Callithrix jacchus: one gene and its partners. The protein of the gene in region 7 interacts with the protein of the main gene of each other region in a pairwise test. Links are inferred from orthologs where the notes say so. Each region holds a gene or a part of one and is shown on either strand. Other genes may lie near its edges.

What was found.
Region 1: the proteins of PHF1 (region 7) and BIRC7 interact in binary tests that used the Homo sapiens proteins (3 or more experiments, as listed by UniProt). The two-hybrid records come from large-scale screens. The link is inferred for Callithrix jacchus from reciprocal best matches to the Homo sapiens genes PHF1 and BIRC7.
Region 2: the proteins of PHF1 (region 7) and RBPMS interact in binary tests that used the Homo sapiens proteins (3 or more experiments, as listed by UniProt). The two-hybrid records come from large-scale screens. The link is inferred for Callithrix jacchus from reciprocal best matches to the Homo sapiens genes PHF1 and RBPMS.
Region 3: the proteins of PHF1 (region 7) and TFCP2 interact in binary tests that used the Homo sapiens proteins (3 or more experiments, as listed by UniProt). The two-hybrid records come from large-scale screens. The link is inferred for Callithrix jacchus from reciprocal best matches to the Homo sapiens genes PHF1 and TFCP2.
Region 4: the proteins of PHF1 (region 7) and HSD17B14 interact in binary tests that used the Homo sapiens proteins (3 or more experiments, as listed by UniProt). The two-hybrid records come from large-scale screens. The link is inferred for Callithrix jacchus from reciprocal best matches to the Homo sapiens genes PHF1 and HSD17B14.
Region 5: the proteins of PHF1 (region 7) and NAB2 interact in binary tests that used the Homo sapiens proteins (3 or more experiments, as listed by UniProt). The two-hybrid records come from large-scale screens. The link is inferred for Callithrix jacchus from reciprocal best matches to the Homo sapiens genes PHF1 and NAB2.
Region 6: the proteins of PHF1 (region 7) and PDLIM7 interact in binary tests that used the Homo sapiens proteins (3 or more experiments, as listed by UniProt). The two-hybrid records come from large-scale screens. The link is inferred for Callithrix jacchus from reciprocal best matches to the Homo sapiens genes PHF1 and PDLIM7.

Annotation. Positions count from the first base shown.
Region 1 is NC_133506.1:58,738,001-58,742,288, reverse strand, and holds the start of BIRC7 (baculoviral IAP repeat-containing protein 7), read right to left. Parts: upstream 2,801-4,288; 5' UTR 2,792-2,800; coding exon 2,467-2,791; intron 2,118-2,466; exon of another isoform or gene 1,573-2,117; intron 1,050-1,572; coding exon 950-1,049; intron 566-949; coding exon 484-565; intron 392-483; coding exon 346-391; intron 123-345; exon of another isoform or gene 1-122.
Region 2 is NC_133514.1:31,589,899-31,594,193, forward strand, and holds the start of RBPMS (RNA-binding protein with multiple splicing), read left to right. Parts: upstream 1-1,495; 5' UTR 1,496-1,529; coding exon of another isoform or gene 1,530-1,544; 5' UTR 1,545-1,632; coding exon 1,633-1,647; intron 1,648-4,295.
Region 3 is NC_133510.1:68,329,868-68,333,367, reverse strand, and holds part of TFCP2 (alpha-globin transcription factor CP2), read right to left. Parts: intron 2,789-3,500; coding exon 2,636-2,788; intron 838-2,635; coding exon 727-837; intron 21-726; coding exon 1-20.
Region 4 is NC_133523.1:42,680,588-42,684,708, forward strand, and holds the start of HSD17B14 (L-fucose dehydrogenase), read right to left. Parts: upstream 2,801-4,121; 5' UTR 2,747-2,800; coding exon 2,659-2,746; intron 2,174-2,658; coding exon 2,135-2,173; intron 1,760-2,134; coding exon 1,677-1,759; intron 31-1,676; coding exon 1-30. Other genes in the region: PLEKHA4 (pleckstrin homology domain-containing family A member 4), read right to left, coding at 3,470-3,732. UniProt on the Homo sapiens protein: Catalyzes the NAD(+)-dependent oxidation of L-fucose, yielding L-fucono-1,5-lactone, which rapidly converts spontaneously to L-fucone-1,4-lactone. Can also act on D-arabinose and L-galactose, with lower catalytic efficiency. Does not use NADPH.
Region 5 is NC_133510.1:62,623,425-62,627,539, forward strand, and holds the start of NAB2 (NGFI-A-binding protein 2), read right to left. Parts: upstream 2,801-4,115; 5' UTR 2,643-2,800; coding exon 2,560-2,642; intron 770-2,559; coding exon 1-769. UniProt on the Homo sapiens protein: Acts as a transcriptional repressor for zinc finger transcription factors EGR1 and EGR2. Isoform 2 lacks repression ability.
Region 6 is NC_133503.1:68,644,111-68,647,610, forward strand, and holds part of PDLIM7 (PDZ and LIM domain protein 7), read left to right. Parts: intron 1-1,222; coding exon 1,223-1,374; intron 1,375-1,461; coding exon 1,462-1,492; intron 1,493-1,941; coding exon 1,942-2,060; intron 2,061-2,458; coding exon 2,459-2,479; intron 2,480-2,725; coding exon 2,726-2,862; intron 2,863-2,938; coding exon of another isoform or gene 2,939-2,964; coding exon 2,965-3,001; intron 3,002-3,268; coding exon of another isoform or gene 3,269-3,365; exon of another isoform or gene 3,366-3,500. UniProt on the Homo sapiens protein: May function as a scaffold on which the coordinated assembly of proteins can occur. May play a role as an adapter that, via its PDZ domain, localizes LIM-binding proteins to actin filaments of both skeletal muscle and nonmuscle tissues.
Region 7 is NC_133505.1:41,647,669-41,651,232, forward strand, and holds the end of PHF1 (PHD finger protein 1), read left to right. Parts: intron 1-37; coding exon 38-186; intron 187-370; coding exon 371-466; intron 467-664; coding exon 665-733; intron 734-865; coding exon 866-989; intron 990-1,097; coding exon 1,098-1,165; intron 1,166-1,342; coding exon 1,343-1,447; intron 1,448-1,571; coding exon 1,572-1,761; intron 1,762-1,851; coding exon 1,852-1,946; intron 1,947-2,207; coding exon 2,208-2,288; intron 2,289-2,432; coding exon 2,433-2,721; 3' UTR 2,722-3,064; downstream 3,065-3,564. Other genes in the region: protein CutA, read right to left, coding at 3,269-3,395, 3,539-3,564. UniProt on the Homo sapiens protein: Polycomb group (PcG) that specifically binds histone H3 trimethylated at 'Lys-36' (H3K36me3) and recruits the PRC2 complex. Involved in DNA damage response and is recruited at double-strand breaks (DSBs).

The DNA of each region.
Region 1 (4,288 bases), on a different chromosome or scaffold from region 7:
GCCTGGCCCTTGTCCAAGGCCCTCTGCACATCCAGCCCCTCTGGCAGTGGCTGTGGCCGCTGTGTGCTGGGCACTGTTGGGGGTGCTGTGGCAGGCGGCAATGGGCTGTGCCAAGGGGTGAGCTGGGGGAAAGCAGAGTTAGGGCCTGGCATTGGCGGGAGGCCCCTGCTGCCCCATCCCCATCCTCATGGCACAGCCCCCATGAGGTCAACCCTGGTGGCACCTCACACCCAGTCATGCCCATCACTGTCCTTGCTGTCTGGCAGGGTGGGGACACCCAGTAGCTTTGGCCAAGCACAGGCTGCGGGTGCCCGAGGAGGCAGCCAGGGTGGTGTCGGCTCTCACCCGAGGGGGCCACAGGGGCTGCGTCTTCTGGTTCTTCCCACGGGTCCTGGAAGGAGCCAGAGAATGTTGGTGCCTTGGGGAAACAGGAGGGGCCGGACCCCATTGCCTCCCGGAGCCCCGAGGAGAGGTGGCGCTCACCCAGGAGCCCAGCAGCTGGGAGTGAGCCTCCTGCACACTGTGGACAAAGTCTCTCCCTTTAGACTGGAGCAGGAACTGACACCTGCAGATGCCCCCAGATGTAGGCTGGGGCTACGAGCCTCCTGTCAGCTTCAGCCCTCAGAGCCCCTGGGGCCAGGGTTGGGCCCCTCCTCCCACTGCCCTGCAGTGCCTGTGGGCATGGGCTGGGGGGGCTGCTTTGGAGACGCCTCGTGGGCCTTCAGGGTATTTCCGTGGGAGAGGAATTTCTGCCCTCAGCAGCCCTTCCCAAAAGGGGCCCTCACAGGAAAAGTGGGTACCTGCCGGGCAGAAGCACCATCCACAGAGGGGCCTTCCCAGTGCCCTGTGGGGCCAGGGAGGCAAAGCAGGCCTGGGGTTGGGTTGACAGAGCCCTTCGGGGCCCACCATGACCCGTGATCAGACCCAGGGTGCCGGGAGCAGCCAGTACCTGGGGAACCATTTGGCATGCTCTGTCCAGGGATCGTCCCCGCACTTCCAGCTCTGCAGGCCCCCATAGCAGAAGAAGCACCTCACCTTGTCCTGTTGGCCTGGGTTGTGACAGAGATACTGGCACTAGCCAGGCCCCACCCAGCCCCAGGACCCCCGCTTCGTCCTTCCAAGGTTATGAGAGCTTGGGGTGGAGGGGTGGGGAGCTCCCAGGTCGTATCAGGGAGGAGGGGTGGGCAGGGGCTTGGCGGGTGATGTCACATGCACACCATTTGCATCAAAAGTGAAGGGGACAAGACTGTCTGGGTGCCAGGCAGGACGGGTGAGAAGGTTCAGGAAAGGACTGAGCTGGCATTTGCATTGTCCACAGAGTGAGCGGTGGGGGCCCCCCAAGGCCTGGCACATCTATAGCCCTGGGGCTTCGGGAGTCAGAAGGGCCCCTCCCCAGGTCTCTGCTTCCCAGAATGGATTACAAGTGAGCAGAAGGGGGCGGCTACCCTAGAAGGCCAATCTGGTGCCAGGCTTGGTTTTAGGAACTCATGCCTTCCTTTGGGGGTGGGAAACCCCTCACTGCTCTACCTCCTGGCAGCTCCATCCCCTCATGGCAGACATGGGATATGTCACCTGGCACTGCCATCACAGGTCTGGGCTGCAGCAGGCGCTGGACCTCTGGACCCCCAAAGAGCCCTGCTCTGCAGCTGCTATACCTTCGGCCCGGCCTTCGCCTGCTGAGCCTTGGACCTCCGGGGAGGTGGGTGAGCTGGGCCGGCCCCTTCACGATGAGGCTCCTGACTGTCTCAGCCACGGTCCCCACCCCCAGCTGTCTCATGTTGGTCTGGCCTTCCCAGGACGGTGCCCCCCAGAGCCCATTGCTGACGATGACCAAGGCTGTGCCAGTACTTGTCCCTCAGCCAGGAAGGGGCAGAGCTAAGACCTGAACTCAGGTCTGACCACGTGGTCCCAGATGTAGGGCCGAGGAGCAGGCCCAGGCCAAGACTAAGATAGGGGCTCTGGGCGCTTGGTTCCGTCGGGGAAGACCAGACAGTGGCTGTGGGCTGGGGCCTGGAGAAATTCCCCACAGACTGAGTGGCCAGGACCTCGCAGCTGAGCACTGCCTGCCTCGGTCACCCTGATCTGTTCCTTAAACATCTCACCCCATGCAGACCAGCGGTGGGGGGAAGGTGAGGGCCCCAGGCAATGTCAGCCCCTCCCACTTATATCACAAAGGGGTACTTGCACGCCCAGGTAGCAGCCTCCACAGCTGAGACTCCCAGACTGTGGCCAGAGGCAGCCCCTCCTCCTGTCCCACAGTCTAACAACTAGGCCAGCAGAGACTCTGGGGGAAAGTGTCAGGCACCAGGACATGGCCACTGAAGGGGCTTACAAGACCATTCAGTCATCAGGCCGGACCCTTCCCTCTAGGGTATGGGTGCCACGAAGGAGGCAGAACCCTGGGCTGGAAGAGTCCAGAATCATGCCCAGGGCCTCAGCAGGAAAGCCCCATACCCCAGGACTGACCTGTGTGGAAGAAGCCGGCAGCGGCCAGCAGCTCGGGCGGCACCCCAGCGGTCAGTGGCCAGTCATAGAAGGAGGCCAGACGCAGCTCCTCAGAGCCCATGCCGGGGAAGGCAGGACCCCTGGGCGAGGTGGCCCCGGCGCCATCCTCCTCTTCCTCCGCTGCCAGGGGCCGAAGCTGGCCCAGAATCTGCCCATCCACGTGGTCCCAGGCTCTGAAGGTGTCCAGGCCCAGGACAGGGCAGCACAGAGTGTGGGGGCCACGGTGCTCCTCGGGGCTCGGCTCCGGCCCACGGTGCAGGCACTTGGCACTGTCTTCAGGCCCCATGGAGGGAATGGCAGCTCTGGCCAGCTCTGCAGCAGCAGTGGGGCAGATGGCCAGTCCCAGAGGATGCCTGGCTGCCCTTCTGGAGCTCCTGATCCCCGCACCCACCCGGGGACAGCAGGGATAGGCACGGCGTTGCCACCAGTCACCCTGGGTGGGGAATATCCTGGGGCCTACTGCTTTCTGGAAGAGCCCAGGGTGGCCTCTGGGATCGCATGCTCTGTGCATCGGGGGCGTGTCATGGGGCCCCTGGCAGGGTCTCAGATTCCGCTCACTGCACGTGGGCAGGCAGTGTCTCTCCAAACCAGAGGGGAGGGAACTGAGCATGGAGACCCTCCCCCAGGCTGGTGCCTGCCCCGGGCTGTGGGGGACCGGTTGGGGAGCCAGAGATGATGGCTCTGGGGTCAGGCGCCCAGGGCAGCCTCTGGAAGCAGAGAAGGCTCAAGTAAGAATGGATGGACTGTGCGGCCGACCAGGCCGGGGCTGTGAGCCCCCACCTTTCCGGGGTGACTCTGGCCGCACAGGGCCTAGTGCCGTGTCATTCGGGGCTGGAGCGGGAGGCAGGTTACCCGGGTGTTCTCTGAAACATCCTCTGTCCCACGGGGCCTCCACAGGTCTCGGAGCAGCTCTTTTCCTCAGGCCATGAAGATCAGAGCAGACAAAAAGGCCTGTGCTGCGCTCCCCTCCCCCGGCCCCTTCCCATCCCTTTCTCCCCCTCCTTCCCCCACCTCCCTCCACTTCCCCCACCTCCCTCCACTTCCCCCACCTCCCTCCACTTCCCCTACCTCCCTCCACTTCCCCATCTCCCTCCACTTCCCCCCACCTCCCTCCACTTCCCCCCACCTCCCTCTACTTCACCCCACCTCCCTCCACTTCCCCCCACCTTCCTCCACTTCCTTCCATCTCCCTCCACTTCCTCCCACCTCCCTCCACTTCCCCCACCTCCCTCCACTTCCCCCACCTCCCTCCACTTCCCCCACCCCCCATCTCCCTCCACTTCCTCTTATCTCCCTTCACTTCCCCCATCTCTCCAGTTCCCTCTGTACCAGCCTCCCCAGATAGCCAGGAGAGAGGCTCTGATGTCCCCAAGAGAGGTGCATCAGTGTGGGCACTGGGATTGGAGCTCTGAGGTTGGCTGTGACTCGAACCCCTGGTCCAAGCTCCACAGCTGCGCCATGCTGCACAACTCCCAGCGAGGGAGCAGGGAGGGGGACTTGACCCCAGAGAAGCCCAGGGGTGGAACAGGAACCCCAGGGACACCTGGGCGGGACAGAGAGAACAGATGGATGGGCCCAAGCCTCACCACTCCCCAACCCCCTACTGAGCCCTCAACCCCGGCAGCTCATCCATCTAGCTGGCCCTAAGAGTCCCCTGTCATCGTTCAGCCTCTCTCCCCTGCTGCTCATCCTGGAAGGGGTGTGCAAGGTCACAGAGTTAAAGGAAACGAGAGGAGTCGCAAACTATGGGGCTGCTGGTTGCTGCAGGGAACACAAGCAAGCA
Region 2 (4,295 bases), on a different chromosome or scaffold from region 7:
TGTTTTTTGATAGTGGCCATAATTGTTCATTTTTAACATTAACCATATTGATCAAATAACTTTGAGTGCCAGGGGATGCACAAATGTGAGGTTTGTGTACGATCTACAAAGCTGCAGTTAAAATTTTTTTCTCTCACTTGCTCCTAAACACTGTTTTAAACTTATAATGGGTCTAGTGCAGTGTATCATTGTTTCTTCTTGATTTTCAGCAGTCTGTATGGGAATTTTTAACCTTCGTAGGAAAAGCAATGGAACATCATGGTAGCTAAAATTGCAAATCTCAAACTTGGCAGAATTATTAGAAAAAAGTAAAGTTCAGTAGAACAGATTGTGAGGAAAGCATTATTCATGTCACAGGAGTTTACAAATAACAGGTGTACAATGCACTGGGATGTTTCTCGCCCATTAATGGAAACGCTCCGGAGACTGTACAGTCAAGAAGATGGATAAGGTTGTAGATCCCTTCCGCTATCTCCAGTGATTCATTTTTTTTTTCTCTAATACTGCCTAACTTCCTCTGTTACAGACACTGGGTAGTATCAACATGTTTCCTTACTGTTCAATCTGAAAGACAAACCCTCCAAAAAATTAAAAATAGAAAAAGTAATGTTCTGATTTATCTGCCATCAATACTTTTTATTTGTGGATTCTCTTAATACCATATCAGAAATAACTTTATAATTTATTTTTTTGAGATGAAGCCTCGCCCTGTTACCCATGCTGGAGTGCCGTTGCGCGATCTCAGCTTACTGCACACCCCGCCTCCCCGGTTCAAGCGATTCTCCTGCCTCAGCCTCCCAAATAGCTGGGACTACAGTCACCTGCCACCACCCCTGGCTAATTTTTTGTATTTTTAGTGGAGACAGGGTTCCACCGTGTTAGCCAGAATGGTCTCGATCTCCTAACCTTGCAATCTGTCCACCTCGGCTTCCCCAAGTGCTGGGATTACAGGCGTCAGCCTATTTTTTATTTTGTTGTTTCTTTTTGTATAGAGAGTCTTGCTAAACAGTATTTCTTGGCCCTTGCCCATGCTAGCTGTTCCCTTTGGTGATACGGGCAAAATTAACCCAAACCATGAAATAAAACATTACACTCTATTTCCTTCTTCCCTGCCTCTCCAGGTTTCCATCGCTTTTCACCTTAGCCCTTAGTTTTGTTGCACTGGTAGCATCCTGGAGCCTCGCAGGTTTTTCTCAGCTCATTCACTCTCTTTTCACCCTCAACCGTGGCAGCTCCAGAATGCGGGTTTCTGGTGTGTTATCTTCTGTTTCTGTGAACTTTCGCTGCCAGTCACTGCCTTTCCATTTTAATTGCATTCTCCCACCCCCGCAGTCTTCCTGGAATGCTTCCTGTTTTGCTCAGGTGGGTCTCATCCTCCCGGGGCCCGCATCTCCTCTTTCGCCTTCGTCTGACTGAGCCCGGTTGCAGCTGAGTCCTCGGCGTGGGGAAGTGAGGTGGGGGAAGCTGAGTCAGGTGCGCGACCTTGTGTGTCCGCACTTCCGGTCGCGCGGCCCACGCCGGCCGCCATTATGATGCAGAGCCAGGTGAGTCGTCTGGGCCCAAACCTGCTGTTGGAAGTGCAAGGGCACCGAGAACCACCCTACCTGTAAGAGATCTGTTAAACTTCCTCAGATGGGATGGGGAAAGGTGAGAGGGTGACATTTCAGGTGACCAATGCCTGAACTGGGGCTTCCAGGGAAAGGCTAGAGAAAGACGTGGCGAAAAACTCTCCCTCCTGGGGCTGTGACTTCTATTATATTTACTCATCGTAACTTTTTTTTTTTTTTTTTTGAGACTGAGTTTCACTCTTGTTACCCAGGCTGGAGTGCAATGGCGCGATCTCGGCTCACCGCAACCTCCGCCTCCTGGGTTCAGGCAATTCTCTTGCCTCAGCCTCCTGAGCAGCTGGGATTACAGGCACGCACCACCGTGCCCAGCTAATTTTTTGTATTTTTAGTAGAGACGGGGTTTCACCATGTTGACCAGGATGGTCTCGATCTCTTGACCTCGTGATCCACCCGCCTCGGCCTCCCAAGGTGCTGGGATTACAGGCTTGAGCCACCACGCCCGGCCAACATTGTAACTTTTTAAAAATAACTGTGGAATTAATAGTAATTCCCCTGAAATACCCACCCTGTGTTGATGGAGCAATGGCAAAAAGCTCGTGCTTAAGTATTCTTGTCCACAGCGTTGCCAGTGCCTCCTTGGTACGGAAAACCAGGTGTGACAGAGTCACCTCAAGCCCCGCAACTTCTCCAAAACCCGAATCTGCGTGAATATTGCCTTTCTATAAAATAATGGAATCCGTTTGCCAAGTCTATATTCTCCTAAACTGTAATACTTAATATTTTTTTCTCTGAAGTCTTATTTTAAATGGTTTTTTAAATGGTGCCCTGCACTAATGTTTTTGGTAATTATGGCTAAAAAAAATTTAAAATCTTTAAGTGATGTAAAAAGAACCTGAATCTGGAATATGCTGCGTGGATACTGCCTTTTTAAAAAATACTGGAATCCGTTTGCCCAAAGTCTATATTCTCCTAGACTGTAATACTTAATATTTTTTCTCTGCAATCTATTTTAAATGGTTTTTTAAATGGTGCCCTGCACTAATGTTTTCAGTAATTATGGCTATAAAAATTAAAAGTCTTTAATCTGCATGATATAGGAAAAAAAGCTGTGTAGAATAGTAGTTAAGAGCCCAGGCTTTGTTGAACTGCCTGAGTTCAAATCAAGCTCTAACACCAGCTGTTTTGATTTTGGACCTGTTCCTTTACCCTCAGTTTCCTTATTTGCAAAATAGTTCCTATCTTACAGGGTTGTGGTCAGGGTAATTGGGTAAATACAGGTTTACAGTTGCTTATCTGAAATCCTTGGGGCCAGATGTGCCTAAAAATCTTTCAGATTTTATACTGATTGATAATTGACTGAGGCAGTCTGTTTCTGTGGCCCATGCTGGAATGCAGTTAGCTCACTGCAACCTCCACCTCCCAGGTTCAAGCAATTCTCTGGCCTCGGCCTCGTTAGTAGCTGGGACTACAGGGGCGAACCGCTATGCCCGGCTAATTTTTGTGTTTTTAGCAGAGATGGGGTTTCGCCATGTTGGCCAGGCTGGTCTGAACTCCTGGCCTCAAGTGATTCTCCCACCTTGGCCTCCCAAAGTGCTGGATTACAGGTGTGAGCAGCCACCCCGCCTGGCCTCTTTCAGATTGTAAAAGACAACATAGTACATAACGCATTGGTAACATAATATAGTGAGGTCTAAGGTAGCACATAGTAATTAAGCACATTAATATTTTTGCAATGAAACATGAATAATACACTAAGTGGGATAAGTTAAAACTATAAATAGTTTAACATCACTTCATATCAGGTTTTGCCACCCAGTGAGTTTGCACTGCCCTCCTCCCAGACTCACCACTGTAGGCTTTTAGAGCGTTTAGATTTTGGAATTGTGGATTAGAGGTTGTGGAGTCATATGTAAACCATTTGAACAGGGCCTGGCATATAGTAAGCACCCTATAAATGTTATGTGCAAAACTGAATTCTTCCTATACTTTATGACTAGTTTGTCATTATTTAAAAGAGTAGTTTAAATCATAGTGCTTTAAAGTGGATGTAGTGTAGGCCTATGTAACTATTTGTGTGTATTTTTTGCATATTACTCCCTCATTTGGGTTTCAGGTCTGTTTTTCCCATGGTAAAAGAACAAGAGAAAACAAGGCAGAGCAGAAAAGTTCCATGTTCCTTCTCACTCCTGCTTGCCTAGTCAAAACAATTGAACAGTTTAAGATGTCTATTTCAAAGATTTCAAGTAAATTCTAAAATGTTTCCTCTTGTCGTGACTTGTGACTTCAGCCTTGACTTGCCACTCTGTGCATCTAAATCTTTTGATCTGCTTTGCTGCCAATGGATTATTTCCAGAATATGATGGTGTAGACATTCTTACATTTTAGGCAATTTAAATGCTTCTAAGATTTTTTTTCTTACCCAAAAGAGGTGGCTTCTGAGTTTAGGACTGTGGGATTGATGTTTTATGTGAGTTCATGGCTGTGTTATGTTATTTGGCCTGAAAGTCTAGTGATCTGGTACATTTTATCCTGTGATCCATTAATATGTATTGAAAATATACTGCAGTTCTTACAGTGAAAAATAATTAGACCCATTTCATCCTCTTTCTACTTAATACACATATTTACCCAGTCTAAGCCTGATTAAGAAGGGCAGTGTGGGAATGGCTGAAAGAAAAATACATGCTTTTCAAAAGGTAAACCAGAACTGGAAGCAGAAACTCTGAA
Region 3 (3,500 bases), on a different chromosome or scaffold from region 7:
ATCTCAGGCCATGGAGAACACTGAAAACAAAGGATAAGTTAGATAACGAATAAGCACGTTTGACCCTAGGATTTCACTAACACATTGCTCCTTGAATAGCACATCTTGATTAGTAAATCTTAATTCCTCAGAGACCCTCATAAGCAATAGACAACATTGCTTCTCTTTCCGCCATCTTGAAGCCTGTGGAGGCTTTCTGGGAACAGGACTTCTAAAAGGAAATACGTCTAGAAAGCTGTGGTCCTGGGCCATTTTTGCTGGATATAAGTGGGTTCTCCAGAACCAAAGGCAGCACACAGCTCTTCTTAAAATTGAAGGTGTTTATCCCCAAGATGAAACAGAATTCTATTTGGGCAAGAGATGTGCGTATGTATCAAAGCAAAGAACAACACAGTGACTCCTGGCAGCAAACCAAACAAAACCAGAGTAATCTGGGGAAAGGCCTATGGAAACAGTGGCATGGTTCATGCTAAATTCCAAAGCAACCTTCCTGCTAAGGCTATTGGACACAGAATCTGAGTGATGCTTACCCCTTAAGGATTTAAACTAATGAAAAATCAATAAAAGTAGATTTGTGCTCTTGTTTTTTTAAAAACAAAAACAATACCAAAACAGAGTGAGAGAGAATATTCCTTAGAAGAAGTAAATTTTGACCAGTTTGGAAGTGATTTTCTTCTAAGATTAAAAATTATGAACTGAAACTGTCACCAAGAGAAATCCTGTTACCTCTGTGAGTATGGTCGTCTCATAGGAAGGTTGGTATTTCTCCTTTTCATGAGGTGTTCGTTTCTCCATTTTCTCTCTGTCTGTCTTTTGCTTTCTGTCTGCACCTTTGGGCTGAAATGAGAAATATTTTGTTTTAAACTCAGGTAATCACCTTTTAAGCCAACAATATTACTTCTAAAAACTTAAATATTCACATATGAAACAAAATTGTATGTGCAGGTATGTAAAGGTAAGACACATCAGTTTAAGTCTGAAAATAGGAAATTTACATGTTTGATAGGGTTGAAAAGAATCAGATCTATAGCTACTGACATGGAAATATGTCTAAAGCACACAGTTCACTAAAAAAAACCAAGTCTCAAAACAATTCAAATAGTATAATCCCACTTACGTGTCAAAGAAAATATGTATGTAGCTATGTATGCCTGTGTATAAAAGCACAGAAGGGAACTAAAAGAGCTGGGCGTGGTGGCTCAATCCTGTAACTATCGCACTTTGGGAGGCCAAGGCAGGCAGATCGCCTGAGGTCAGGAGTTCGAGACTAGCCTGGCCAACATGGCAAAACCTCGTCTCTACTAAAAATATAAAAAATTAGCTGAGCATGGTGACACATGCCTGTAGTCCCAGCTACTGGGGAGGCTGCAGCATGAGAATTGCTTGAATTTAAGAGGCAAAGGTTGCAGTGAGCTGAGATTGTGACACTGCACTCCAACACGGGCAACAGAGTGAAATTCCGTCTCAAAAAAAAAAAAAAAAAGAAGAAGAAGAAGAGGGAACTAGAAGAACACATACAAAATTATGACCGTGGTTTCCTCCATCATAAGACGGTGAGGGGGTTCAGCGTAAGAGTAGTAAAGAGAGAATTTCCTCGTTGCTTTGAATACTTCTGTATTATTCAATATCTTACAATGAGAACAAATTAAAAAATTTTTTTAGATGGAGTCTTGCTCTGTCACCCAGGCTAGAGTGCAGTGGTACAATCTCGGCTCACTGCAACTTCCACCTGCCAGGTTCAAGTGATTCTCCTGCCTCAGCCTCCTGAGTATTGGGATTACAGGTGTGTGCCACCATGCCCAGATAATTTTTTGTATTTTTAGTAGAGATGGGGTTTCACTGTGTTAGCCAGGATGGTCTTGATCTCCTGACCTCATGATCTGCCCACCTTGGCCTCCCAAAGTGCTGGGATTACAGGTGTGAGCCACTGCACCCGGACCAAGAACATACTTATCCCTGTGATAAAAATAAATAGGACCCTGGCTGGGGCACAGTGGCTAATATCTATAATCCCAGCACTTTGGGAGGCTGAGGCAGGCAGATCACTTAAGCCCGGGAGTTCAAGACCAGCCTGGGCAACACGGCAAGACCCCCTCTCTCTACAAAAAAATACAAAAATTAGCCCGATGTGGTGGCACATGCCTGTAGTCCCACTGACTGGGGAAGCTGAGGCAGGAGAATCGATTAAGCCCAGAACGTTGAGGCTGTAGTGAGTTGTGATTACGCCACTGCACTCCAGCCTGGGTGACAGACTGAGACCTAGTCTCAAAAATAAATAAATAAATAAGACCAAATAAGAAAAGATCAAGTATGAATGTAACCAAAAATACTCAATTTTTGTAAGCTTTACAAGAGCTTGTAACTTCAACAGGCTTTAAGAGCTTTCAATGAGAACCCATGTTCTTGTCTCTAGCCCTTTTTTCCAAGTTCCTATTATCCCATGATCATTTCCATGTAAATTTCTTTACCAGGCATCTTGGTAATTATTTCAATGACTCTAGCTTAGACATTTTTTCATTTTTTGAGTTTTCAAAAAAAAAAAAAAAGACAAGTTGACTTTCTGACTTCGTAGCTAATGTTAATATAGAATGATAAGGTAAAAGAATCCAAGGGCTAGCACATTGCCCAGGAATACCTTGAAAACTTTGATCTGGCAGCTGGCCGAGTGTAAGTGCTCAGTATATTCCCCGTTTTCATTCTCCTTGAAGGTATCAATTTGCACTCGGAATGGCACCCCCTTTTCTCCACCATGTTTCCTCATAGTGAACTCTGTGCTAATACAGTGCACCTGAAAAGAATGCAACATCAAGGCTTCTGTCCGGCCGGCCAAACCAAATGGCCAAATGGTGGTTTGTTTGTTTTTTAAGCAACTGTTAACAGCAAAACCTTTACTAGGCATTACGAATATCTACAAAAAACACTTTTCCTCTTTTTGATCTTAAAAAACTTCCAATCTGATACAAGAAATACAAAAACTTAAATGATTTACAAATGCAAACAAAATAAATGTACAGATCTAATGCTACCAAAAGTTACTGTGAGGAACTAAATTCATTAACTGCTTCAAAGAACACAGAGTTAGCAAAACAGAAATGATTTCTGTGAGTTAAAGTTTCCTCAATTTCAAGGAAGATCTTAGAAAGAGGAGTCACTACCCAGTCTGGGAACATAGTAAATATGAATGTTCACAGCGATAGTGGAGAAAGAGGTTTGCCTGGCGACTGCATAAAGCCTAACATTAGTGAATTTTTTTTTTTTTTTTTGAGACAAAGTTACATTCTTGTCGCCCAAGGAGGGCAATGGTGCAATCTTGGCTCACTGCAAACTCTGCTTCCCAGATTCAAATGATTCTCCTGTCTCAGCCTCTCAAGTAGCTGGGATTACAGGTGCACACCACCATACCCGGCTAAGTTTGGCATTTTTAGTAGAGACGGGGTTTCGCCAGGTTGGCCAGGCTGGTCTTGAACTCCTGACCTCAGGTGATCTGCTCCACTTAGCCT
Region 4 (4,121 bases), on a different chromosome or scaffold from region 7:
AAATCGGCGGATGGTCTCAGAAACCAGAGTCTGAGGAGGAAGGAAATTTTCTTTGATTTTTTCATTTTCTTGTTTTCTGTTTTTTGGTTTTGTTTTTTTTTTTTCCTCATTGCTCAGGCTGGAGTGCAGTGGCACGATCTTGGTTCACTGCAACCTCTGCCTCCCAGGTTCAAGTGATTCTCCTGCATCAGCCTCCTGAGTAGCTGCGACTACAGGTGGGCATCACCACAGCTGGCTAATTTTTTATATTTTTTAGTAGAGAGGGGGTGTCACCATGTTGGCCAGGCTGGTCTCGAACTCCTGACCTCAGGTGATCTGCCCACCTCAACCTCCCAAAGTGCTGGAATTACAGGCGCCACACCTTACCCAGGAAATGTCCTTTGAATGAGCAGTAGATGAGGTGTCCAGCCATAAGGCAGACAGGGCTGCCAAATGCAAGGCAGGAGGGGAAAGCTGGACTCCCAGCTCAGGGGACAAGAGCTAGAGGAAGAGGGAGTGCCGAGATCAGCAGACATGGCAGGCGAGTAGCAGACAGGAAGGAGACAGGGAGCTGGTCAGAGCCACAGTGCAGTCATCATTCCAAGGTCAGGGGGTGGGGGTTGACAAGGGTTCAGATAGAGAGTAGGAGACAGTTACCCAAGTGGGGCAGGAAACAGAGAGATACTGATTGAAAGGAAGAAATAGGGGCCGGGCACAGTGGCCCACACCTGTAATCCCAGCACTTTGGGAGGCTGATGTGGGTGGATCACCTGAGGTCAGGAGTTCGAGACTAACCTGGCCAACATGGTGAAACACTGTTGCTACTAAAAATACAAAAATTAGCTAGCTGTGGTGGCTGGCGCCTGTAATCCCAGCTTCTTGGGAGGGTGAGACAGGAGAATGGCTTGAACCCAGGAGGTGCAAGTTGCAGTGAACCGAGATGGCACCCCTACACTCCAGCCTGGGCAACAAAGAGCAAAACTCCCTCTCAAAAAAAAAAAAAAAGAAAGAAAATGAAAAGGAGGAAATCGGAACCCAGAAACAGAAACAAGGGAGAAAAATCGGTTACAGGCCAGGTGCGGTGGTTCACACCTGGAATTCCAACCCAGGAGGAGTTGGGAGCCTGGAATCCTGGGTCTGAGGGAGGAGGGGCTGGGGGCCCTTTGGGAGGCAGAGGTGAGCAGATTACCTGAGGTCAGGAGTTTGAGACTAGCCTGGCCAATATGGTGAAACCTTGTCTCTACTAAATATATAAAAATAAGCTGGGCATGGTGGCAAGCGCCTGCAATCCCAGCTACTTGGGAGGCTGAGGCAGGAGAATCTCTTGAACCCGGGAGGTGGAAGTTGCAGTGAATTGATATCACACCATTGCACTCCAGCCTGGGTGACATCTCCAAAAAAACAAAAGAGAAAGAAAAATCCGTTACAGTTGACCCACTTTGAGGGACTTTTTATTCATTTCCATTCACATGTCAGATGTGCTAAGAGCCTTGGAGAGGTGGGAGATGAGGAACACATGACCTGCTTGCCAATCACGGAAGACCTATGTGTGGAGTGACACTAGGTGGAAACCTCTGATGGGTCCAGTGGAGCCAGGAGAGGAAGGAAAAGGAGAGGGAACGGCATATGCGGATGCCTGGAGAACAAAGAACTGGCAATTAGTGGAGGCGTGGAGCAGGAGCAGGAACTGTGCTCACCCTCACGTCGTCTTCCCGAGTCACGTCACAAAGGATAAAGACAGCTCCAGGGAGCTCCCGCTCCAGCGCCCGGCCCCCAGACTCTGCAGTGAGAGAAGAGCTGGGAGCCTGGACCCCTGGGTCTGAGGCAGAAGGGGCTGGGGGCCTGGACCCCTGAATCTGAGGGAGGAGGGGCTAGGGGTCTGGACCCCTGGGTCTGAGGGAGGAGGGGCTGGGGGCCTGGACCCCTGAATCTGAGGGAAGAGGGGCTAGAGGTCTGGACCCCTGGGTCTGAGGGAGGAGGGGCTGGGGCCTGGACCCCTGAATCTGAGGGATGAGGGGCTGGGGCCAGGACTCCTGGGTCTGAGGGAGGAGGGGCTGGAGGCCTGGACCCCCTGAATCTGAGGGAGCAGCTGGGGCCTGGACCCCTGGGTCTGAGGGAAGAGGGCCGGGGTGAGGGCTGAGGGACCATCACTCACCATCCTTGTCGCAAACAACCACTTGGGCCCCGCTGTCCACTGAGAATAGGAAGGGAACAGGTGACCCTCCGAGCCTTGGGTCAAGCCTCTGCCGCCCTCTGGTGGCCACCTGGAGTGGGGTCGCTCTCCCTCTCCCCTCTCCTCGTGACCCCAGTCTCATGATCACCCTCAGGACAGAGGGCAGAGGGCAGAGCCCTTGACACATGCTCTCCCTGCCTGGCCAGGTTTCTGCTGAGGCTCCTGAGCCCCCGTTCGTGGGTTCCAGAGCCAGCCCCACGACTGCCAGAGCCATTCCCCAAGCCACTGGTATTGCAGCTTCACTAACAGACCCAGAGAAAGGGGGCCACTGCCCTCCGAGACCTCGCCAGACTCAGCCCCAGCCTACCGCGGCACGCGCTTACTTTAGCCTGCAAATGGGCTTTTGTAAGGTCAGAATCCCAGCTGTATTACTGGGGTCTCCATTTTCCGCCGCCATTGCCCAGCCCCCATCCTTCCCCAGCTCCCAGCGGCCAGACCCCGCTCACCGAACGCGCGGACGATCCCGGCTCCGATGCCGCGCGCGCCCCCGGTCACAACCACCACCTTCCCGGCGTAGCGCGTTCCCGTGGCCATCCCGTGTCCGTCGGTCTCTGTCCGTCTCTCTACTCTGCGCCTCTGTCTACCTCCAAAGCCCCGTGACAGCGTTGCATCAAACCATCAACAGGGGCTGGATCCTGGAAGTCCGGCCCCGGGGGGTGTTGCCAGGAAGGCTGGAAACCTGGGTTTGTCCCCAGTCCCTCCTCCCTCAGACACTCGCCTCCTCCCCCAGACTCAGGAATCCAGGAGCTCCAGGCCCTCCTTCCTCAGACACTCCCCTCCTCCCTCAGACTCAGGAATCCAGGAGCTCCAGTCCCTCCTCCCTCAGACACTCCCCTCCTCCCTAAGACCCCAGTCCCTCCTCCCTCAGATTCAGGGGGTCCAGGCCCCCAGCCCCTCCTCCCTCAGACTGAGGGATCAGCTTCTCCATCCCTTCCTCTCAGAGACCTGTAAGTCCAAGGCCCCTGTCCCCTCCTCTCTCAGGACCCAGGAGTCCACAACTCCGGCTCTGCCCATCAGAGACTCCAGCGCCACAACCCCCAACAGAGAGAAACAAAGTTATTGACTACAAGTTCAAAGTTTTAATCCAAATTTAGACAGTGTTGAGAAAACCAAACTTTGGCCATAGAAACCATTCCCGTCCCGGGCTGGCGACAGGGACCAGACCACGCCCCCTGATGCCCTGAGTGGTCCCACATCTCTGCGGCGGTACCTCCGGTCACGTCCTCACGCTCCAATTGGCTGCCGCATTTGGGAGGGTTAAAAGCTGGACTGTAGAAGAGTGACGCGCAAAGGCCACGCCCCCTCGTCTTGGGGCAGGACCGGAGGGGCGATCCCGGCATCCCACGTGGGCCCCCAGGGGGCGGGGCCTCCTCCACGCCCACTGCCTCCGCGAAAGAACCCGGTGGAAGCCGAATTAGCCACCGGGGGAGATCTGGGGGGAAGGGTCTCCTGGCGCGTGGGGTCCGACGGAGAGAGCGGCACACGTGAGAGAGGGTCTCCCTGGGAGTCCAAATTTCCACCTGGAGAGGATGAGTAGGACATGAGAATGGCAAACTTCAGCACCGGGACTCCGGATTCCCAGGCCCCTCCTCCCTCAGACCCGGGAGTCCAGGCCTCCGGCCCCTCCTCCTTCAGACCCAGGAGTCTGGATACCTCAGTCCAGTCCTCTTTGAGACTCAGGTGTCGGCCCTCTCCCCGCCCCCGACCGCTTCCTCCCCTCCTCTCAAGTGTCCCAGAACCCAGTTCCCTCTTGAATGAGACCTAAAACTCCCAAACCCTGCCCAACTCTTTCCTCGCCAAGATAAAAAATTCCCACCGGCCCCCAGACCCCTCCTCTCCAGGACCTGGGACTCCAGGTCTCCAGCTCTCTCCTCCCTAAAACCCAGAAGTGCAACACCCCCAGCCATCA
Region 5 (4,115 bases), on a different chromosome or scaffold from region 7:
CATCTCAAAGATGTGCCCCACGCTCCGTGCCAGCTTCTTATTCAGCTTTAGCAGGGATGTGACCTCCCCAGCATCCCCCCTTGGGAAGCTCCGGAAGATCCTCTCCACACTTTCCACCACCATGCGTACCATCTCTGGCTCCAGTCGATCTGGACTACCCCCAGTCCCACCTGCTGCCAGCCCCCCAGCCCCAGTCCCCTCAGGGACTCCTCCCCCTGTAGGGGGGGAGAAGGGGGGCGAGCCAGCCTCCTCTTCTCCTCCTGCCCCAACGTCCGACTCTGGAGTGCTCCGGCCTGGCCAGATCCGGGGGTCCCCTGCCCCTGGTCCCCCAGGCAGTGGTGATAGCTTCTCTCCAAGTTCAAGGGGGCTCTTGGGACTAAAACTGCGGGCACTGCCTGCCTTTTCCCCTGGGCTGCCATGCCCATTGCTCATGCTCCCTTTCCGGGTACCCGCAGTCTCAGAGATCTTGAAGAGCGGGATGCTGGAGACGGGAACAGCAGGCACTGGTTGACTGAAGAGCCCTGGATTGGTGGCCCACTCTCTCAGTGCCTTCTGCAGGCGTCGGACATGGAGGGGCTTGGTGGCCATGCCCACAAGTGCCATGATCTCCAGAAACTCCTCCTCACCCGCCTCACACAGCTGCTGCACGTCGTCCCCTCCCTGCTGGATGAAGGTCTCATAGTAGGAAAGGAGGTTGGCGCGCTGCAGGACCCGGTACAGCTGCAGCTCCCCCAGCGTCCGAGGCAGTGCCATGGCTCGGGCACTGGGCCTGAGAAGGAGGGGCACAAGAGAGAGGCAGTCGGTGCAAGTCCCCCTACTGGGTACCCACCCACACTAACAATTGCTCCCTCTTTTCTGCCTGCTTTTCTCGCCCCCCCCCCATTTGGATGCTCTCCTGCCCAGTACCCACATCTGAGTACAGACCCTGAGAATCAGGCACTGCTCAGAGGCATGGACAAGCCGGGGCCGTCCTAGACTAGCCTGAAGCACCAAAAGCCAGTGCCCATGTCTGCAGGAGTGCAAGTCTCTTTACAACCCCATCTTCGGCTTTTATCTTTCTGGTCTGGGGCAAGACCTGACCAGCACCAATCTGGGATGGCTGGACCTCCCTCTCCCCCAAAACACAATCCTCACCTTCCACTCTAAACACTGGGCAGTCTCAAAGCTAATGAAAGTGAAGTCACCCATACTAATGTGAATGTAGGGCCCTGTCTCTCCCACAGTGGACACTGAGGGACACTACAGCTGGTCAGTTTCACTTCCCGTGGACGGGCCACAGCACCAGGTGGCTGAGAGTGAGGGTGTGTCACCTTCCCTGGCTTTCCCACTCAGTGAGCCAGGTGTTGCCTTGCTCCTTGTGCAGCTTTTCCCGGGGTTAAGCATTCTTTTTCTTTTTTCTTTATTTTTTGGGGCGGGGGGGGGAGGTGGGCCGGAGTCTCGCTCTGTCGCCCAAGCTGGAGTGCAGTGGCCCGATCTCGGCTCACTGCAACCTCTGTCTCCTGGGTTCAAGCGATTCTTCTGCCTCAGCCTCCTGAGTAGCTGGGATTATGGGCGCGCCCCACCACGCCTGGCTAATTTTTGTAGTTTTAGTAGAGACAGGGTTTCTCCATGTTGGTCAGGTTGGTCTCGAACTCCGTGACCTCGTGATCCAACTGCCTTGGCCTCCCAAAGTGCTGGGATTACAGGCGTAAGCCATCGTGCCTGACCGGGTTAAGCATTCTTTACGCAGGCTTCCTCTCTCCCGCTAGGACCTCTCCACCCCTTTCAGGCTGCCCAGTTCTCCTCAGTGGCCCCTCTCCCAGCACTGACACTCCCCACTTTCTCTGTGGGCCTGTTCCTGCAGCTCAGGGGCCGCAGCAGGGGAGGGGCGCAATTGTTCTGCTCCAGGGCCGTTCCGCCCACACACACTCCCACAGTGATAGCGTCTGTGGGCGAAAACCGCCCAGGGGCTCCCGCCTACTCTCCTCTCCCTTATTTTCCACCCGCATCTTCAAGTGGAGTGGGGGAGCGGCTCAAGGCCTCTTGATAAAGGGGCTGCACACTGAAACTCCTCTCCCCACTCTGTGAATAAAGGGACAGATAAGGGAAGGAAAGCTTAAGGCCTCCCTCGTAACCCCGTCCCCCCTCCCGCTGATGCTCCTTTAACTCAAAGGCACTGGCTTCTCCTGGACCCCGGGGGCTCGCGCGCCGTGCCAACGACGGACTGAGGCAGCTGAGCGTCCCCCTACCTTCCGCACTGATGCCAGCTCAAGCTCCAGGGCATCCCCTGGTGCTTGGGGGCTCCCACATTCTTTGAGGGGGCACTTGTGCCATATCCACCCCACAGAGTAAACCGGGAATAGAGAATTAGGTACTACTCTTTCATATCCCGCTTCATCAGATGCTTGCTTGCTCCCAGGGACCCCTAATTCGAAGACGCACCCCCTTTTCCATCAGTCTCCACCCCCCACCCCCGACCCGCTTCCCCACGTCCTCCTCTCGACCTCCGCCCTCTGGACCCCATTCCCAAGTCCAGCTCCACCCATCTCCATTCCCCTCTGCCTCCCTTTGCCCACTAACTTGAGTCTGGGCTGCAGGGTCCGGCGGGCGCTGTCCCCTCCGCCCGGCGGCTGCTCGGCTGTGGGGGAAGGCGCTCTGTGCATGGACTGCCGGAGACCACCCGGGCTGCCCTTCTCGGTGCCCGGCGCTCGGCGCCTGCTGCGCGTTGCGCTCCTCCCCACGCAAAATGCCGTGTCCACCGCTGTCCAGGCTCTGTCCCTCCCTCCACGTCTTCTCTCTCCGAGCCTCCGAGCCTCTGTCTGTGCCTCTGCCCCCCCGCCTCCCCGGCTGCGCTTGCCGCCTCTCCGCGCCTCCGCCCCCGCAGGACGCACGGGGAGCGAGGCCCGACTCTGCGCTGGCTGCGGGGCTGGCGGGCGGAGGGCGTGGGCAGAGCCGGGGGCGGGGGCGGGGGCGGGGGCGGGGGCGGGGACCGGGGGGCGGGCACCGGGGCCTCTCGGCCGCTGAGACACCGCGGCTTACAGACTGGGAGAGGCGGAGACTGGGGGGAGGGGGTGTGGAGCAGGAGGCGGGGGCGGGGACTCAGAGCCCGGGCGCATAGTTAGGGACCGAGGTGACCGAGGCCCGGCTGTGGAGGACGGGCTTGGGGACCCAGCAGGCGGGGCGAGGTCGTTCAGTGCCGCCCACGCCGGATGCGCAGCCGGCCCTCTTGAGCCCACGTACCCACGTGAGTGCCGGGCCGGCGACATTCCTACTTTCCCCCACCCCTCCGAGCTGAGAGCGGAGTTTCACAACCACGCACAAGTACACAAAGACACAGAAGCGCACGGACGTGCACACGCGGCTAAACAACTACGCGGACGCCCACTGCTCACACTCAGGCCTTGCGGTGCTGGACGTGTGAATGTTAGAAGTCGGGAAAAGTTGGCGAAGGCTGGGGTGTGCGGCTCCTCCTGTGCGTGCATCTGACTCCCACAGAGTGTGCACTTAAGTTGGGCCTGAGGACGTGGGGCTCTGCAGGGATCCCCTAGATATCCCTGCGCCGCTCCCCAGCCCCCAGTGGAGTAATCTGAGGAGTCCGCTTTCGGAAACCCAGGCCTCCATGCTAATCTGGAAAGTTTAGGAAACAGGGATGGGAGGGTTATACTGCACGCCACCACTTAGGTGCGCGAGTTGATTAGACGCGTCGAGTTTTGTCAGCGCGTAGGTCAGGCAGGGATTCGGGGGTGAAACCCCGCCTTCCTCCACTTGTCCTCTATTTGCTGAGAATGAGGCCCTGCTTGGGCATTTTGTGTGGCAAGGCTGTGACAAAGACGATACCCTTCCTGGGGCCGTCTGTCTGTTAGGGGACCTCGCCCGAGAGTTTAGTGGAGATGAGTAAGAGGTCGGGTAGCCTCCGACGTGACTTCCTACGGCAGAGCTGGAGGGAAGAGCGCCTTCAAGGAGCTTAGCACCCCCCTCTGCAACCCACCATTGTCTCCCCCTTTGGTTTCTCCTAGCCCCATCTGGTTCGCATTGCACTCCCGCCCACGTCTGGGAGGGCTGTAGGGGGAGGCGGGGGCTCTGAGGGCCCGGCTCTAAGCCCCAGGGAAATGGGGGGGGGCGGTGGGAGACCGAGG
Region 6 (3,500 bases), on a different chromosome or scaffold from region 7:
GCTCCTGTGCACCCCAAGACCCCCACCTCGGACTCAGCCCACACCTCCCAGGAGCCAGCCCTTGTGGGCAGGTAGTGGCTGGGCCAGGTTTCCCTTGTACTGACTCACCATGGCCTTGAGTAAGTCATTTCCCCTCTGGGGTGTCACTTCCCCACGCACAGTTTAAAGGGTTGATTTAGTTGGCTTGAATTAAATGTGAGGGGGAAGCTCAGGGCGTCTCGAGGTGGGCTGACCCCTCAGTTGGGCCCCCATGCTCAGCAAAGGTGGCCTGCAGTGGTGGAGTCTTAGGGTCAGGGTCACTTCCTGGCCCTGCCTCTTGCTGGGTGACTTGAGTCAAGTTGTTTAACCTCTCTGTGTACACTTTCAAGTGCAAAATGGGTAAAATCTCAGATTACTCCACAGGGTTGTTGGAAGATGCAGCAATGTGTAGCATACTTGGTGCTCAGTAAACTGAAGGAGGTGTTCTTATTTAGCGAGTGAGGAAGGGGCCACCGAGCTCTCTTAGCTTCCCTGAAGTCATTCCTGATGGTCTTAGTTCATGCTGGTGGCAGCCATTTCTCGCAGCCTATTGTCACCCCTTGTTGCCACTGGAACCAGGGACTCCCAGCTCAGAGCCTGAAGGATTGGAGTCAGGGGAGTTGGCAGTTGAAGGCTTGGGAGTGACACTCATGTATGGCCTATGAAGCCCCAGCTGTCACCTTAGGCCCCATTCAGGCAGTGTTCATGGGGAACCTGGAGATAACAGGGCCTGTTCCTGGCTCTCAAAGTGTCCCAGCGGACCCCTGCAGATGGCCCCCAGATAGGGTGCTGGAGGGTAAGAGATCCATAAGAGCCCCCAGCGGTAGCAGGGAAGAAGCTGCCCCTTGCATGGGCCAGAGGGCATATCTGGTAGTATAGCAGCCCTGGGCAGGCAGCCAGCAGGTGCTTCAAAAGGCAGGTGGTCCTCCTGAAACACATGGGCCTGAGCATGGCTGTTTGTGGGTATCATAGAATTTCTGGACTGTGGGGTAGGGTCGTGGTGCAGAGTAAATAAATCAGCAGTGTGATGGGAAATTGTGAAGCTCAGGTGAGCGCCACCACCTCCTGGTTGCTTTAGTGTCCAGCAGCTGCCTAGAACTATGTTGAATGAAGAGCTCTCTGGCCTCTAGAAGTGGGGCAGCATTACCACCTGGCTTGGGTCTGCAGAGTCTAAGGACCTCGGTCACTGTGCTTTTCTCTGTAGCTCACTCCTGGAGGCAAAGCAGCACAGGCTGGAGTGGCCGTTGGTGACTGGGTGCTGAGCATCGATGGCGAGAATGCAGGGAGCCTCACACACATCGAAGCTCAGAACAAGATCCGGGCCTGTGGGGAACGCCTCAGCCTGGGCCTCAGCAGGTATGCGCGTTGGTGTGGATGGGTGCACAGTCGCTAGCAATGGGGATTCTCATGGGCCCACGCTGTCACACTTTCCTTTTCCTTCAGGGCCCAACCGGTTCAGAGCAAACCCCAGAAGGTACGAGGCGGGCCGGGACATCTGGGCAGCGGGCGGGTTGGGCTTGGACAGCCAGACCTGCTCGCCCTCCTGGCACAGCCTCGGTACCCCAATCCCTGGTCAGAAGTAGAGGGCAGAAACTGGAGCTAGGGTGGGTCTAGGGCCCTGGAGTTGAGCCAGGGGCTGCCGCACGGTCTGGGCACCACGCATGTTTGCCTGTCTGTCCGCCTGCCTGCCTCCCGCCGCCGGTGCTGCGTGTTCGCCCGCACTTGGTCAGCCCTCGGTCCTGCGTGGACTGAAATCACCACTCCTGAATGGGCCCCTTGAAACCTGAGTTGTCGTCTCCCCCTAGTCTCCTGCAAGATGTGGGGGGTGTGGGGGGCTGGAGCTGCCACTGTCTTCTGGTGCGGGCGCCCCACTCCCACCCAAGTCCCTGCCCGCCTGCCCTGCCCGGCTCTGTCTCTGCTCAGGCCCCGGCCCCTGCCGCGGACCCCCCGCGGTACACCTTTGCACCCAGCGTCTCCCTCAACAAGACGGCCCGGCCCTTCGGGGCGCCCCCGCCCGCTGACAACGCCCCGCAGCAGAATGGGTATGTCAGCCCCGGCCCGCCCGTGCCCGTGCCCATGCCATCAGGCCCCTTGTGGCCCCACGCCCTTTGCCCGCTGCCCGCTGCTGCTCAGTCTGTGCTGTGCCCCAGCCCGGCGGAACCGTGCGGCAGCAACCCCTGGCGGCCGGGGTGGGACTGCAGGCACAGGGCCCCTCCCAAGGCTGTGGCACCCTGCAGGGCACTGCCCTGGGGAGGGGTCTCTGAATGAGGTCGCACCCCCTGCTGGCGGCTTGGGGTTGGGTCATGGTGTTGGGCCAGTTGAGCCCTAGACACTCAGTGCTGCCTGGTCCCCGGCTGCCCTGACCCCTCCCCATCTTTCTTCCTCTCCTGTGTCTGTCCCTTTGTCCCTTTATCTCTCTATCTGTCTATTTCCTTCACAGGTGCAGACCCCTGACAAGTCAGTGAGCCCCCTCTGCCTGTCCCTCTCTTCTTCCTTTTGGCACTCTGGGCGGTGGCCCCTCCCCACCCTGGCTGCCCTCCTCTCCACTTTGCCCTCCTGTCCTCTCATCCACCCGCCTAGCAGGGCTTCTGGCCTTGCCCTTACCCACTCCCTCCCATCACTGTAACCCACATGCACCAAATCCTGGGAGGGGCTGCCCCCACTGCCCACCCCCAGCATGGGGTTCTGAGCCGCACCCTCCCCACAGACAGCCGCTCCGACCGCTGGTCCCAGATGCCAGCAAGCAGCGGCTGATGGAGAACACCGAGGACTGGCGGCCACGGCCTGGGACAGGCCAGTCGCGTTCCTTCCGCATCCTTGCCCACCTCACAGGCACCGAGTTCAGTAAGTGCCAGCCTAGGCAGGGTGGACTCTCCTGGCCTCCAGCCCAGGCGTGAACCCTGACCTTCTGTCTCTCTTGGTCAATGCCTGTCTCTGCCCTCTCAGTGCAAGACCCGGATGAGGAGCACCTGAAGAAATCAAGGTACAAGAATGGGCACTAGCCCTTCTCCCACCTCCTGCCTCTTCCATTCCAGCTACTGCCCTATGTCTACTCCTGAGGCTCCCAGCTGGGGCTTTCCATTCTCCTTCCTTCCTTCGCTCCCTCCTCCTCCTCTTCCTTCTTTCCTTCCTTCTTTCCTCCCTTCCCTTGCTCCTTCCTTCCCTCATTCCTTCCTACCCTCCTCCCTCCCTATGTCCCTTCCATCTCTCCTTCCTTCCACTTCTTCCTCCTTCTCTCTCTGCCCCTCAGGGAAAAGTATGTCCTGGAGCTGCAGAGCCCACGCTACACCCGCCTCCGAGACTGGCACCACCAGCGCTCTGCCCACGCGCTCAACGTGCAGTCGTAGCCCGGCCCTCTCCAGCCGGCTGCCCTCTCTGCCTCCCTCTTTCTGTTCCTCCTGCCCAGGGCACCCCCTTAGTGTCTCCAGCTTCTGCCTACCTCACCCCCGCTTCCTGCCCCTGGCCTGAGTCTCCTGCTGGCC
Region 7 (3,564 bases):
ACCCCGCTGAGGCCACCCACCTGTTCTATCTCTGCAGAGGGGCGGTGCCCTGAAGAAGGGCCCCTATGCCCGGGCCATGCTGGGTATGAAGCTCTCTCTGCCATATGGACTGAAGGGGCTGGACTGGGATGCTGGACATCTGAGCAATCGACAGCAGAGCTACTGTTACTGTGGTGGCCCTGGGGAGTGAGTAATGAGGGGGAGCAGACTGTGCAATGAATGATGGCGGGGTGGACCCCAGGAAATGAAGGAGAAAGAACAGTGAGGGTAGCACTCAGGGGGTTGTGAAGTAAGTGATAAGCAGGTTTGGGACAGATATAGGGATGGTTGCAGTGAGTCGAGAGGCCAGAAGTCCTCTGTTTCCCCTTAGGTGGAACCTGAAAATGCTGCAGTGCCGGAGCTGCCTGCAGTGGTTCCATGAGGCCTGCACCCAGTGTCTGAGCAAGCCCCTCCTCTATGGGGACAGGTGAGACTCTCCAGGAGCCAATGATGCTCTGTCTTTGTGCTCCACCCTCAGTTCCCCCACGCCCTTCTCCACTCCAATCTCTTCCCAACCTCTGCAGGGTTACCTCACCTGTTCACCCCATCCTTGCTTGTGAGTCCTCCAGGAGACGGCATAGTTTTTCTGTGTAAGGTGTGTGTTCTCCCTCTTGTCCACGTCCAGGTTCTATGAATTTGAATGCTGTGTGTGTCGCGGGGGCCCTGAGAAAGTCCGGAGACTACAGCTTCGCTGGTGAGCTGGATTGGTCATGACCTCAGTGTAACTCTGCACCCCCAGCATTTCACTCTGTATGCCCCAACCTCCCACCTCAGGACTCCTCTGGCTCTTAAAATGCCTCTGTGGTCTTGAAAACTCTTTCTCCAGGGTGGATGTGGCCCATCTTGTCCTTTATCACCTCAGCGTTTGCTGTAAGAAGAAATACTTTGATTTTGACCGTGAGATCCTCCCCTTCACTTCTGAAAATTGGGACAGTTTGCTCCTGGGGGAGGTAAGGGGTAGTGACTTTTGGGAGTTGGGATGGGACAGGAAGATGTATTGGAAAGGGGAAGAGAAGAAATCACTGCTCCCCTGGCCCCATTTTCTTTCCTTCTCCCAGCTTTCAGATACCCCCAAAGGAGAACGTTCTTCCAAGCTCCTCTCTGCTCTCAACAGCCACAAGGACCGGTGAGTTGGAGGGAAGAGGAGGCAAGGGTGAGGCTTGGAAAGAGATGGAGATTGGAAGCCTGGAATGGGAGCCGTTTGTAACCCATCTGGAAGACTGTGACTGAAAAGGATTTAGGAATGGTGTAAGGGGGGACCTTTTTTACAGCAATGACTGTATCATTTATCTTCTTGCCCCAGTTTCATTTCAGGGAGAGAGATTAAGAAGAGGAAATGTTTGTTTGGTCTTCATGCTCGGATGCCTCCCCCTGTGGAGCCCCCTACTGGAGATGGAGTATTCACCAGGTCACTGGTCCAGGGGGGATGGGGGAAATTCTCAGGGTGTTAGTCTGGGGAATTTATGTATAGAGATGGGGAGGTCTTTGGGGTGTCCGGGAGGGGGCTGGGGGGATAAGGAGGCCTCTTACAGCTTCCCTTCAGGGCAGGGCCCTGGGGGAGGGGTCTCACGTCCCCTGGGGAAGCGCCGGAGGCCGGAGCCAGAGCCCCTGAGGAGGAGGCAGAAGGGGAAAGTGGAGGAGCTGGGGCCACCCTCAGCAGTGCGCAATCAGCCCGAGCCCCGGGAGCAGAGGGAGCGGGCTCATCTGCAGAGGGCACTGCAGGTACAGGGGAAGGGGGAACCCTATGGAGCAAATGGTGGGGTGTGGGAAGGAGTCAAGAATTATCTCTCAGTCCTTTGCCCCCTCTTCTAGGCCTCAGTGTCTCCGCCACCCCCCAGCCCTAACCAGAGTTACCAGGGCAGCAGCGGCTACAACTTCCGGCCCACAGATGCCCGCTGCCTGCCCAGGTCAGTGCTCCTCTGCCCCTTCCCCCCAAAAATACACTCCCATTTATTCATATCTTCTGGACTTTCTCACCCAGAATTCTTTTCCGTCTCCCCCTTGGCTACCCACTTCTTGTCCTAGACCAACTTCTAGAGCTAGTGTCTGGTAGCCAGTATTCAGGGGAAGGGAGTCCCTTGGGGGTAATGTTTGAGCTCTGTACTTCCTAGAGGGAGAAGGTCCTGTTACCCTGCTTCAGGTCCTGACTTTCCCCCCTCTGACCCCAGCAGCCCCATCCGGATGTTTGCTTCCTTCCACCCCTCTGCCAGCACCGCAGGGACCTCTGGGGACGGTGAACCCCCAGACAGGTGAGATGCTGTCCTCTATTACCAGTGATGCTCCTCTTCCCCTCTATGTGCTCAAGGCTCTTAATCTCTTAACTCTTTCTGTTTCTCTGATTCACATGTGCTCTCCATTTCTGCCTGTTTCTTACGATTGCCTTCTCTCCTTAGGTCACCCCTGGAACTTCACATTGGTTTCCCCACAGACATCCCTAAAAGTGCCCCCCACTCGATGACTGCCTCATCATCCTCAGTCTCATCCCCATCCCCAGGTCTTCCTAGACGCTCAGCACCCTCTTCTCCTCTGTGCCGTAGTTTGTCTCCTGGGACTGGGGGAGGAGTCCGAGGTGGGGTTGGCTACTTGTCCCGAGGGGACCCTGTCCGGGTCCTTGCTCGGAGAGTACGACCTGATGGCTCTGTGCAGTACCTGGTTGAGTGGGGGGGAGGCGGCATCTTCTGAACAGCCTGCCTCTGCCCACCTCCCCATTCACATACACCGGCACTTTCATACCCTGACCTCTGACCTCACCTACAGCTGGGATGTACCTGGAGAGATAGGGGGTAGTTCTCCCTGCTGCCCAGGCTGGAATCCAAGAGTGGGGGGTGGGGAAGAGGCTCTCTTCTCTACCATCCTTCATGATTCCTGACCCCCCCATCCTTCTTCCCATTTCCTTTGACGTTATTTTGTTACAGCTTTTTAAATATTTTTTAAAATTATTTAACCCCTGGGGGCAGAGACTGAGGAGGGAGGATGATAAGGGAACCCAGACTCTGTATGATTGAAATAAAGAGAAATAAACAAATCTAGCAGCTCTGAGTCATTCTGAAAGATGTAGAGAGTACAGGGACTTAAAGCACTTATACACTCCCAACAAATTTGCATACATGACAAGGACAAAACAGGCAAAAGGCAGAGAGAACCAACAGGATTTATTGGGGGCCCAGTCATCACCTGGAAGTCAGAAGACATTGAAATATCGTGGGGGATCATGGCAGAACAGGGTTCATCATGGCAGGACTGTGCTAGAGTCAGAAACTAACTCTGTGACCTGATGTACCCACTGCAGGTATGGAAAATTCCCCTGTTCCACAGGCAATGCAATCACCTCTGCCACTTCATACGGGTGCACAGAACTGCAAGATAGATGGGTGGGGGAAAGGGATTACTCAAAGATTTACCCAAAGGAAACCACCCCCTCAGGCACAAGCCTTAGACGGCCCAGCAAGTCACACCTCACAGTACACACCCTCACCCCATCCATCTCAAAAGTTCTCACCGAACAAAATCTGTCAAAGCCGGGAC